Schizosaccharomyces pombe: one gene and its partner. The protein of the gene in region 1 interacts with the protein of each later gene in a pairwise test. Each region holds a gene or a part of one and is shown on either strand. Other genes may lie near its edges.

Evidence for each region. The genes of interacting proteins can lie anywhere in the genome.
Region 2: the proteins of spo4 (region 1) and spo6 interact in a two-hybrid assay, tested with the Schizosaccharomyces pombe proteins (one study listed by BioGRID).

The regions. Positions count from the first base shown.
Region 1 is NC_003423.3:3,825,205-3,833,896, reverse strand, and holds spo4 (serine/threonine protein kinase (DDK family) Spo4), read right to left. Parts: upstream 6,720-8,692; coding exon 5,726-6,719; exon of another isoform or gene 5,604-5,725; coding exon 5,436-5,603; exon of another isoform or gene 5,176-5,435; coding exon 5,048-5,175; 3' UTR 4,937-5,047; downstream 1-4,936. Other genes in the region: C2 domain protein Git1, read left to right, coding at 1-2,700; SBDS family protein Rtc3, read right to left, coding at 3,410-3,730; protein psg1, read left to right, coding at 7,683-7,773, 7,824-8,293. UniProt on the Schizosaccharomyces pombe protein: Required for the initiation of meiosis II and progression through anaphase II.
Region 2 is NC_003423.3:3,100,786-3,105,441, reverse strand, and holds spo6 (Spo4-Spo6 kinase complex regulatory subunit Spo6), read right to left. Parts: upstream 2,346-4,656; 5' UTR 2,159-2,345; coding exon 1,694-2,158; exon of another isoform or gene 1,643-1,693; coding exon 1,510-1,642; exon of another isoform or gene 1,464-1,509; coding exon 742-1,463; exon of another isoform or gene 696-741; coding exon 591-695; 3' UTR 501-590; downstream 1-500. Other genes in the region: guanyl-nucleotide exchange factor Lam2, read left to right, coding at 1-326; SPOM_SPBC1778.03C (NADH pyrophosphatase), read left to right, coding at 3,277-3,308, 3,489-4,587. UniProt on the Schizosaccharomyces pombe protein: May act as a kinase regulator. Essential for progression of meiosis II and sporulation.

The sequences.
Region 1 (8,692 bases):
AAACATCTTTTTCTTTTAGGTGACTTTTCGCTAATCAGCTATGTAAAAGTTTTATGTGGTGTATTTAATATCCCTAACTACAATGCCTTCATTCTAAGTGTCGAGGATCTACTTCCGGAAAATATATCCTTTGCCGCCGTTGCTGATTTTCAGTTATCAAAGTATAGGGCAATTAACGACAATTCTGTATTAAGAAGTGACGATTTCTCATCAAAAGCTGTGTTCGACAAATACGTTGAAAGGGAGTGTTATTACTCAGAAAATGCTATTAGTAAAATTTTTCAAAACTATCCTGATTTGGCTGTCCTTTTTGAAGAACTACAATATGCCGAGGGAAACAATGATCTTCTATCTGCGATTTTGAATACCAATAAATATACTTTGAGACCTGATGATTGTGCTCCATACTTTTATCGTTTAATGGATTTGTGCTTACGTTATTGTTATAGCCAAAGTAATGAAATTGGTACCAACGTTTTATGGAGCATGACTACAAGTTTCATCAACATTTGGCGTATTCATCCTGGAACATGTTGTTGCGTGGTCTTAAGTATATATTGGCCTTATCTTGAGGATAAACTCCTAAAGTTTTCGGACCTTGGAGATATTTTTGAATACTTCTTTTCTTTAATTCATGATTGTGATTATGCGATTTGGTCAGTCCATGACGAACACCAATTTTCGGAGTTATTGGCGTTTTATCATAGAAGAGCTTTAAATGACTTAGTAGAAGAATTGGGGAGCTGTCCTCGTTCTAGTGATTCTTGCCGAGCTATCCTTGATATCCTTAATAATTACATCTTTTCATGTCCGCTTTTTCTGGTAACCCCTGAAGAACTAGAAGAGCAATACACCGACTTTTTTAAAAAACTGAAAGAAAAATATGGGGAGTTTTTCCAGAATCTACTGAAGAAAGAACTGACTGGGAAGCCTGAATCAGATCTCGAAGGGCTTCGATTAGTGGGTGTCCAATTGCAAGCCACTTACGAAAACTTGAAGTCGAATTTTAGTGCTAGAATATTTAACCAGCTTTCGGTTCACTCATTTTTTGCAGAAGCAACATGTCACTTGTTTCTTGAGAAATTACCTACCATTACCAAAACTTATGTATACTCAAATTGCAAAGAAATTCCAGATCATATCCTTGAAATGATCAATGCTCTATACCAGCAAACTCGCGCTTTAGTGGCTTGCACCGGATACCTATCGTCGGACTACCCGAAAATTTATGAAGCTTTTAGCGGTACCTTTGTATATAGAAATTTGTCGCTGATAATCGACAAGGGCTTGGCTAATGTGTTGCAAACAGTCCTAAGAGAGTCTTTCATTCCTAAGAGATCCAGATTTTATTCAGATTCAACTAAAATGATTCTTGCTCCTTTGCAGGACTGTTATGATTTTCTGCAGAAAATAGATTGGCCAAGTTCCAAAGATGCAAATCGTTTTTATTTGCATCTTGGAAAACTTAGTGAAAACTACATTCATTACTACGTTGACAGCATGTATGCATTGTTTATTTATAGTACCGATATACCATTGAAAGCAGAACCTTTAGTTCCTGATCTTCCGGTGAAGCAGCTTAAAGAAAAAGCTAGTCATTTTAAAAGACATTCTGGGGACCCAAATTTTTTGAAGCTGTATAGGGAATCATTCACCCTAATCAATACCGTCAGTTTAGTGAGTGGTTGGTTAAAAATGCTGCATCAAAGGATTGATTATAAAATATTGACAGAGAAGGTAATGCACTTTAAAGATATGGAAGTACCATCTGCGACTGTTATAATTTCCATTAAGATGGCCCATCTTTTGGTAACCCCAAAGGCCCCATATTCATTCTCTGTTTTGCTCCAAGATCCTGAGTCGGAATTTTGTGTACATACTCGAGATGTTTATGACGAGCTAGTTCCCAATTGGAAAGAAACGTATCAGATGGAGATTACAAACGTAAAGCGTTTTAAATTAATTATATATCAGAGGAATATACACACTGGATTGGAGACTGTATATGGTCATGCAACACTAGAAGTTGATCCCGACAAACTTAAGCAAGGCCACGGAAAAGATGTTTGGCTTGATATCACTAATAAGGGACAAATTTTGATTGGGTTGCGTGTGCTCTTGAAGAGGGAAACACCAAATTATTACTGCTTTGCCCAAATGGAATACCTTACCGTTACTGAAGTAAAAATGCTAAATGTACTGATGATTTCTCTAAGTAAATTTATTCGAAATTCCTTAAGAAATAGTGGGTTAATGGATTTCGTGCGTTATCTTGATGGAGACGAAAATGATAACGCAGAGGCTGAGACTAAAGAAAAGATGGACGAGTTGCAGGCCCGGTGTGAAAAAGAGCAGCAGTCATTGTTGGCAGAGCTAGATGATTTTTTTTATTGGATTTATGTAAACTTGCTCCCGAAACCTCTTTTTTACTTGCTTTCGCGGCTTTGGTTTGGCTTGTTGGAGACATTTCGAGATATTTTAGTGCCTCCAGTCACAGATTCTACCCTAAGGAGAATTCCGTTGAATAAGCGTGAACTCAAAATGGTCTATTCGTGGTTACAATTGTTTTACGATTTTTTTCGGAATTTTCAAGATATTGCGCCATTTGATTTTTTGAATACCGATGAGTACAAAAGTGTGATGGCTATTAAAGACTATTATTTTGTAAAGTCTAAGGATGTCAAAAGAGTGAGTAGTTAGTTAACTACGGTAATGATGGAGACTTCTATTAATGTTTATTAATTTACTGAACGATACTTTTAATTTAATGAGCACAGTTGCTAATTTATTTTATATATATACAAATATGTATGTCATACGTCTATCATAAAGTCGCGTGTATTAGTTGCTAGGCTGAAATTATTTATTAAGCAGCTAGCTTATAACACTGCATTGTACACAAGAATAATGCTGAAAGCTAAAAATTAAGTTATGCTTACGATGATTACGCATTTTCTACAAAAATGAAACACACCATACAACCATAACAACAGGTTACAACAAAAGTCATAAATACATTTCTATGTAAACAAAAACAGATTTTTTTTAACGTAAAGCATACACATAACCGCACAGCCTTTAGAACGTCCAAACCATAAAAGCAAGTTATAATCATACATAAACATAACAAATGCCTTTAAGTCCCTTAGATAAGACACAAACATTAACCCTTGACTCAATGTCAGAGGCAATAGGAGATTAAAGTCGAATAATTACCAAAGGAACGGGAAAGGATTCCAAAAATTGCCATGAAGTTCAGGTAATGTTGGAATGCGGACATTGTGTACTTCGTCAGATTGCATCATTATATAACACAAATGGGAATACCTATAATAGATATACGTGGGCCATATGTTTTAACTCATTAAAGTCGGTGGTATAACTAGCCTCAACTAGTAGAATTAGTCATTTAGTTGACTTCTTTGTGCTTGCCATGTTCACGATGGGGAATGATTTTTCCGTCAGTCAAAATTTTAGTGACAACATCAACGTCCTTGCTAGTACCAAAGGTATTCTCAAGTTCTTGTTTGGAAGCAGTAATTAATTGACCTTCGTTACCTTTGTTGTTGCTAGTTGTAAAAACTTGAAAAGAGTCGACGATCTCAGTTAAGGGAACAGTCTTGTCCTTGCGCCATCTCATGACATCGGGACCGTTTGAGGCGATGATAATAAAGGTAGTATCCTCAGGTTGGTAACAAACACGGGTTTGGTTGGCCTTAGAGCTAGACATTTTGGAAGTATTGATAAATATATTAATAGACGGTTGGACAATGCAAAAAAATAAAATTTAATAGTCTTGTGAAAAGAGAGAACAAACTATAGAATTATCCAAATACAAACAAACAATTCTTATTTTTGTGTGAAACGATGCTCAACTAGGTTGGGAAAGGAAGTCCTTTTATAGTATTAGATTTGGGTGGAATAAATGCATTTTCCATCAATATGTCTAAACGTAAGTCTCTAACAGCGTCATAACATATTTACATCATTACTATGGGAAGCGAATAATGACATCAGGCGATATGTTTGTTTACCGTGTGTTAAATCCTTACAGTAAAATAATTAACGCACGATAGCACCTTTTGTCCTACACTACTTCATTACTCTCTCTGGTGCCCGACTTTTGTTTAGAGATGGTTTAGTGTGAAGTTAAGAAAAAAATGTTTCCCCTATATATTCAATCTCTTGGAAGATAAATAAAGGAGTAGTTTTTATTCAGTATTACACTTCATTTTTTCCTTTGATACGCTCACAAATCAATCTCTTTACACATGTAGCTTAAGAGGTGTCAATACCTACCTCTTTAATATGATAGTCAGTGTACATACTATTCTCATAACATTATCGCTAAAGAGTATACTGGAAAAACAAAACATCGTTATTTACAATAACACATTAGAAAGCCGGTGCGCAATCAACACTTAGTGACGTTGTAAACAATACGCAATCATCTGTTTAGTGATTTCACTCACGCAATGGCCCACGTCAGTAAGAGTTTGAAAGAGATGGATAATGGAGTACGTGACTGTTTGACTTTTTTCATGATCGAAACTTCTCGGCGATCTTTTGTTTACATTTTGGAAAATATCTTTTATCATTATGAAGAAAGGAAATTGGCTTATTTTGAATTCGGCTTTTTCTTAGTTTAAGGTTATTGTACTTTTAATTGCTGATTTGTTTCTTATGTACTTTATTCGACGACGTTGACACATCTGTTGGCTGATTCCACTATAATGACTTGACGCTACAGGCATTGTAACGATTAAAGTAGGTTAATGTTTGTCAGAGACATCTCATCCTATCTAAACATTTCGTATTTAGTCTGCTCATTTGGTTAACCTTTTACTGTACTTAGTATTTGACCGTTACACATTCGCTTTTCTCACGTGCTTTGGTTTTTGAGATGTTTGCAACGCACGCAACTTCAAATATCTTTATCTTTGACATTCATTATTATTAAGAGTTAATCGATACAATAAATAAAACTTTGAATGATATTATGGAATTCCGACGTGTGGAAATTTCTCCATCTTTGGCAGATACACGTCTACTGCTCTACAGTTGAAGGGAAATCACTTCGAAAAGGGTTTTCTGCCTCAAATCCTGACCGGGTAACCCCACATGCATTAAAGAATTCGTGCTGAAGAGCTGTTTTGGCCTTTACTCGTTTCGATGCTAGATAATTGTTAGCCATTCAATTTTTAATTAATTCCTGCCATGTTGTTTTATACAACTGGAGTTTGGAAATCAAGATACTAGTTTCAGAGTGGATAGCCCCAGGCTTCGTTAAAAAACCTAAAAAGCATCATAAAAGAAGACAATCCATGAATGAAACAATAAAAAAAAGGCCATTTCGGTTCGCGTTTTTTTTTGTCATTTAAGAATTTTCCTCCTAGTCCACTTCCTAGTATTTTGTTTTTGGGATTTGCACGTACGATGTAATTCTAATAACTTGTCCAACAAGTCAATGGCTAAAGCCACTTGATAATCTGAGCTTGTCTCTAAAATTAAATTCTCATCATTCTTCGTAATGCTAGCAATTAGGTCTAGCCAATTATGCTTTTGATCTAGTAGAGTCGGAATGTTATCTGACCAAATTTGTCCTGAGAGAAATACAAGTTAGCACCTCAAAAGTTGTCTCAAAAAGATTTGAAGCATTGGTTAGAAAACGATTTCTCTCTTCGTTTTTTCAACTTTTACGCTCAAGTGTTTAATAACTACTTACCATGTAATAATGCGCAGTTTGACATGCCATTTCTTCCAAAGATATGTGCTAATTCTACGATTGCATCGATATCATCTTCACAGCGGAAAAAAGGATATCGATGTGTTAAAAAACACAACAAAATGACTCCCACTGACCACACATCAATTGAGGATGTTTGATTTTGGCATCGAAACAATACCTCAGGCGCTCGAAATCCTCTTGTTCCGGCTCGGTCAGCACGTTTTGTAGGCCTTGGATCATGTAGCAAGTAACCCTCTGGAGGATCTGCTATCGTTTTCTCAAATGGAAAATAATCGTAATATTTTCCTTCTTGCTTCAGTTTTCTCAATTTATCGACACAGCAATTTTCTGTAGGTGCATCTGCCTCTTGCCATTGAGCTAATCCAAAGTCAAGTATGACTCCCCTTTGGGTGTAAGGATTCCAAGCAAAGTTACCTGGTTTGATATCTCGATGAATTATGCCCTTTGCATCTATATGTGCCAACCCTTTCAAGAGGTCTCTTAAGTACGCACCAATTTCTGGAAGAGAATATTTCATATAGAAGTCCCGGAACTCTGCATGTTGTATAAACGGTAGTACAATTAACACTTGATCTTGATGTCTTACAGCAGTTATCATATTTAGTACACAATCACTGCCTCGTAGTTCATGTAGCATCTCAAGTTCAGTTTGGATTCTTGAGGGAAGAACGGTGGCATAAATTCTTTTCAATGCAACAAAATGGTTTTTTGGTCTCTTGGTTTTGTCATGGGGCATCTGATCTTCTATTTGAGATGATATCCAGTAGGAGTTATCGTAGCTATCGAAATGTCTATCCACCGCTTTAAAGACGCTGCTAAAACTTCCTGCTCCTACTAACTTAACCACATGATAGTCTTCTTCAATGGTAGGGAATGCTTGCACCAATTTAGCAATTTCTGGTCGATCTTCTCGATCTACATCACTGGCGTATACACCTGAATTTCCGAAAGGTAATAGCATGGAAAGCATTTCCTGTTTTAATTTTTATTTTAGTCGCCTTTTGTTTGGTAAAGTGCGGGCTGTTAGATGAGGCACAATTTTCATTAATAGTTTGTTTGTTTGTTTACTTCGCCAAACCCAAATATTTCCCTCTAAGCAAAACTTACTTTTTGTTCCCTAAGCTTTGCTATATCGGCCCAAAGCAAATGAAAATGTAAACAAATGATGCCAATGAAGCACTCCAATTTGTTTATACAAATTTTCAATCCATGATCATCATTAAACGGTAGACAGTGTCAAAGTAAATTACTAGACCAGCTAGTAATTTAAATTACATATATTTCCTTTATAAAAAAATTTACTTTAGCTCTATAACTGGTAACATTTAGAGTCCTATTTAGAACGAAAGCATAATTTATCAAAATTTTTTAGTATGTAAACAATAAACAGCACACCTGTCATAACCAATTTTTGAGATTTCTTCAACACTTGGTTGATTCTTTACTAAATTAATTTAATATTATTATTTTTTCTGTTTATTTCTTGTACATTGTTAAAGGTTTTTGTTTATTGTTTACTGCTTACTACTGCAGTTCGTTTCCAACATAATTATATGCTAGACTGTTATAAATAGCTTTTTCTTTCTATACTTTAAGCCATGCGGATACGGCAAACGAATAACCGAAATTTATTTTATTAGTGTAAAGTTATCTGGGTTCTGATGACAGCATTTTCAACTCATATATTTCCACTCTAAAAAGGATTTACTAATTTTTTTTGTTGAATACGATAACAGTATCATTCGAATATATACAATGATATCGCATTAACGAGTACGAGTTAATTTTACACTTCCGTCCCTGGCTGTTGATGTATCTTCCGCAGACAATTGCCGTATCACTGAGTCTATGCTAAAGACATTGTAAGATTCACGTTAGAGAAGACCGTTTTTTTATTTTTTTTAAGCTACAAAGAAAACTTCGGGTTCACAAAATGAAATTCTTTCTAGGATCTGCTTTATTCTTAATCCTTACTTTTATCAATCTTGTTCGGGCTGAATTTGAGTTCATCACTCCTGCTGAAGGTATGTTTTTTATTTAATTTTTAGTATTGTAAAACTGACTTTTGTTTAAGATTCTCGATGGGCTAGAGGATTTACTTATGCTGTCAAATGGAAACAACCCACTGAACAGTTTGTCGAAATTGCTTTGCAATATGCCGACTCCAATAACACATTGATTACGAGCAGTGGTGTTATTCCTTCCAACCAAACTTACTGGATGGTAAAGATAGATAAGAAATGGCTTATGAAGATGGACAACATTACTGCGCGAGTTGTTGCTGTTCCTCAAAATGGTACCGCCAGCACGGTATATGTGGGTCCACAGGTCCTATTAGCGAACACGTTTTACTGGAAGATGGTAGTGGATGTTTCCCCTGCATTTTCTGTAAACCCGATTGACAAGAAACTTGCAATTGGGTTATCCGTTGGTTTATCCTGTTGCATACTGATCGTTCTATTTCTTCATTTTGCAACTAGGAGAGAAAGAAGGATTTTAAAAAACGAGAAAGAGCTGGAAATGTCTTCATATAGAAAGCATTAGCGTTTCTACTTTTCTGCGCCAAAAAATATACTATCTCATTCATCAGAACTGTTTCTATAGAGTAAATGGTCCATTATTAATTGGAAGGTAATACGCATTGCTTCTTAACTTTAAATTCAATGGCCTCTTTCACCATTCCTTGTCTGTCCGCTTTACTCCATTATTCGTTCCTTAATCACGCATGCTTCCAATACAGCTTTTGGGTCACATGTTTATTTATCTAAGGTACTTTTCATGTAAAATACCATTATTAGATTTACCCAAATTGACACTTTGGGTGTGTAGTTTTGCATTCTTATCTCACAACTTTTCCAATTGTCGCTACCGCATGCTCCTTTATTGTAATAATGAGGCCATCATTTTTTAGTTCTGATGGCTAGACTTTATTGTTTAATTTAG
Region 2 (4,656 bases), 720 kb from region 1:
TTAGATCTATTGCGGCTTTAGCAGGCAACATGTATTCACTTTATACTGCAACCAACCCTAGCCCTTTGGTCGCGGAGTCTACAGACGACGTGATTGCTCATCAAAGAGATGTACTTTTTGAAACAATAATTGAGTTTGAAAGGGGGAAATTATTAATAGCCGCCATTTCAATTGATGGGGCTGAAGATAAACTTTACTCCAAAGACCCATTATTATTAGGGATTGTTGGAACAGAAAACGCAAAGGAAGGAATGATGCAAATCAAATCTGAACTTTTGAAAGAGTGTATCACCAATGAGCTTTCCACGCTTGGAAAACCAGTCTAACTTATTTTAAATCTATTTTGATTTAAACTCGATAATGTTTGGAGCTTTACTTGCATTGTTTGTTACAATCATAGGCTTAAGCCTGACCTTGGTTTAAGAAAAGAATGCTACAACACATCATTATATTGTTAATTTTCTCTTCCCTTTTAGCAGATTATTTTGAATTTTTCATTTGGACAAAGGATATATTGATTTTACGGTTTATTTGAATGTTTGAACTTGCTTTCTGGAATTTTTGAGACATCCTTAAAACTTGAACTAACGTTAATTTGTCCGAATTGGGCGTCGGATTAGCAAAAACAAATCATCTAAACCCTGGAAATTTTCATCTTTCTCTGCAAATCTTCTATGATGTTTTCCGCCCAAATGCTATCGATGTGTTAGTGCTGTTTTTGCTATGATTGGTTTAACTTACCCTTTCCAAGTCCTTGTATCTCTCACAGCAGTTTTCACAATATCCTGATTTTGTTTCGATTTTCACCTTCTTGTGAGCTAGAGGATCTGCATCGAAGGCATTAGGTGGTTGTCGAGGACTTTGGTTAGCCAAGGTGTTTTGTTTGTTTATTAAACGAGGTTCAAGAAGGTTAAGTGGAGACATTGCGGCGCGTTTCTCTACCGGTAAGAGGTTTTCTGGCTTTGGAAACTCTGTCGGCATTTGTTTTGCACCATCAACTGCTGATTCTGTGATATTATAGTCCCCCATGATTTGACGCACCAACACACTCGCTGAATTTTTAACAACGTTATTTTGGTTAGTTTGATTAGTGCAACTTAAGAGCTGTTTTCTGATTTCGTGAGCTGGATGGTTATGTTTTGTGATTTTTAACTCCCTTCTTCTACCAGTATTAAATGGACATCTTCCTTGTGCGGTTATAGCAAGACTTGGCCATAAGATCTCTCCAGAATCCAATGTTTTCTCCCATTCTCGTACTGCAATTGGCTTATAGTATTGTGATAAATCTCTAATGCAGAGGAAGTATTCACGAAAGTACTCGACGTTTTTGCTTGGCACGTAAAAGTCTTTGTCTGATGTACCATACACTTTTTCACCGTCTAGGAGAGATTGCAAGCACGAAGCTGAGGTATTAACCAGGCTATCAGAGTTGAGTAATGTAAAGAGGATTCTGTTCAATAGTTCTAAGAAAGTTAGCGAAGGTTACACTGATATATTAAGAAGACTTACTGTCCAGGAGCCAAATTTTCATATTGGCAGTTTTCGAAAGGTAAAGTACATCATTCGGCTGGCACATTTCTGGGTCGGTAGTCCTGGTGGTAATGAAATGTGTAACTTCAAAAGTAAATAATGTTGCTACTTTCTATATATGTGTTAGTTTTGATCTGCGCAAGTTCTTGCATGAACTACTTACGGCTCCAAGATTATTAATCTTTTGCGTAACACGACGCTTGATTTCCTCATCAACGTTGTCAAAGTAAAATATAAAGTTGGGAAACGCCAATCGATAATCTCTTTGCCAGTAACGAAGTTTGGAAACTCGAATGCTGGTTCTTGGTATATCCTTGTTTCGCGTTAGGGAAGGTTTTACACAGTAGTTTGAAAAAGCAGTGGGTGGGAGAGCCATCTTTGCTGTGGCTTTAGCAGAGTCAAAGGCATTTTGATGAGGCATGTGCGTTTGTTGTTGAGGGTACCAGTCGGAGCATGAAGTTGCGCAAGCTGCAGTTTGACACAGTTCTTTGTCCGAAGTTTCTGTTTTATAGCTAAGAGGATTTTGAATATCTCTCTTTACTTCTTCGTTTATATTTTGTATACTGGGATTTTGGTCGACTAGAGGAGATCGAACAAACGGCTGAGACTTCACTGAATAGAAGTCCATACTCTTCCGGATTGACTCGGAAAGATTTTTAGGAAGAAGAAGTATGTATATATATTCCTTGGGAGGCTGATGAATTCACCTGTTGGTTAATCCTACTTATGTCTGGCTTTAATATTCAGCAATGGCCTCGGTAAGCAAGATGCAGGTTTTCCTCTAGAAGTAAAAAGATAAACCTATCTTTTTTTCTGTGGAAGTTTGGAGGAGTATCCTGGATATATATACAATTTGATTTTGTTTGTTTACTCAAATATTTTCTCATATTCACCTAGTATTGTTTGTAAACAAAAGCCTCGCCTCGCGTATTAAGCCAGTAAATTAAACGCGCGACACGTCGCGTTGCGTATCACATTCATACTAAATAAATAAGCTACTTTGGCTCCATTTGATAGTTTTGCTGGGTTCCTTTGTAAAAATTTTTTTAGTATTCATATGATTAGAAAATATATATTTACTTGATTCAAGCTTGTAAAATAAACATAGACCCAATTTTAAATAAATAGGTACCTAAAAGTCTAGGTAACATTGTTACACTGACACGTGAGAACTTTGTAGTTAATTAATCGTCAACATAACGAAAACAACTCAAAGCAATTCCCGTAACTGTCCATTTAGGAATTAACCAAAAAAACAAACAAACAAAATCTATTTTTATTCCAATGATACTTTTATGACTCACCAAGGCGTTAATAATTGCGAAAACACATACCAATATGTTTACAATTATTTTTTTAACGAAATTCGTTAAATACTTCATGGCATTTGAGAAGTTGTATGGCAATCGTATTTAACGGAGACTTTTTCATATTCAGTATCCCTTTTCATTTGGAACTTTAAGGTTTTCCCAGCTGAGAGTTCGTTTACATCATTTTATTAGATTTTTACTTGCAACTTGGGTTCGACTTTTAGTTCACTCATAAATTGTACCATTACCATTACGCTGGTGCATAAATAACCCTCCTTCTGGTCCTCTCTGTTCTTCATTTCCATCTTTCATTTTCTATTCTGCGTATTTTAACAGTTAAACAATTGTAGAATTTATTCGAGAGATTTGCAAAATTCTGTTTTAATAATTGGTTAGGTTTAATATTCTTTTCGTCTTTCAGAAATCAAGTTTAAGTATGCAGGGTTTCAAAATAGCTCGACATTTTGAGTAAGTAGTTAATTGTTAGTTCTATTTAAAGCTACTTCAAACTTGATAATTCATATCATCTGTTTTGCATGCTCATGGAACGTACCGCTCAACCCTTGCTAATACATGTGCAATGTAACACATAAAATCAATTTTTGATATAATAATCTTAAAAAAATGAGTTTTCTAACGTTTTTCAAGGCTTCCGACTGCCCCTTCTCAGTTCTTCGCAGGAAGCTCATTAAATAGGCTTTCGTTTCTTAGGTCTAATCGAGAATTTTTAAATAAAGCCTTTTATGATCATACCACTCGCTTTCTTCCTTTTTGTGACTTAAATCCGGCTCTACTCGTAAAGGACGATAAATTGGTCACTCTTTCATATCCTCAGATATCCAAATATTTCACGTTCTCCCCTTTTGAGCACACTGATAAACAAATTGCTGAACGATTTTCCAAAGGAGAAAGTTTACCTGTCCTTGTCTACATGGGCAACGAAGAAAGAAATGGACCAACAGATAATTGGAGTCAACACAACGTTTTTGCCATTGACATTACTGGCATCGATGAACTTCAGCAATCGATACGAGACAATGGAGGTACTTTCGTTAATCTTCGCTCTATCTTCACCGAACAATATCAATTGAGCGCATCGGATTCTGGTGCTTGTGCTTTTGCACGCTCTATTCTTGACTGGATTTCAAGGTACAGATTTTGCCCGGGTTGTGGAAAACGCAACATACCTACTATGGGCGGTACAAAATTGGTCTGCAGTGACGTTTTATTGAACGACGACTCAAACTGTCCTTCAAAGAAGGGTATTAATAATTACCAGTATCCTCGGACAGATCCATGCGTAATAATGGTTATATTGTCTCATGATATGCAACACATTTTACTTGGAAGAGCTTTGCGCCATCCGAAAGGACTGTATGCATGTCTGGCAGGCTTTCTGGAGCCAGGGGAAAGCTTGGAAGAGGCCGTTGTCCGTGAAACCTATGAAGAATCTGGAGTTGACGTAGAAAAGGTTTTATATTATGCTAGTCAACCCTGGCCTTTTCCTCAAAGTTTAATGTTGGCTTGTTTTGGAATTGCCCGAAAAAATGCTAAAATCCAGAGAGATAAAGACTTAGAATTAGAGGATGTGCGTTTTTTTTCCCGAGAGGAAGTTCTTCGTTCTTTGGAATGGGATGCCAAGGATGGACCTGCTCCAATTTTATTTCCCCCTAAACTATCCATCGCTAGAAATTTGATCCAAGCATTTGCATATGATGATTGGACAAATTCACAAGTTAAAATGTAAAGGAAGTTATAAAAATGGAAGTTTAGCTACTTTTCCAAAGATAATAAGTGAATTTTCTAAAAAGGTTGA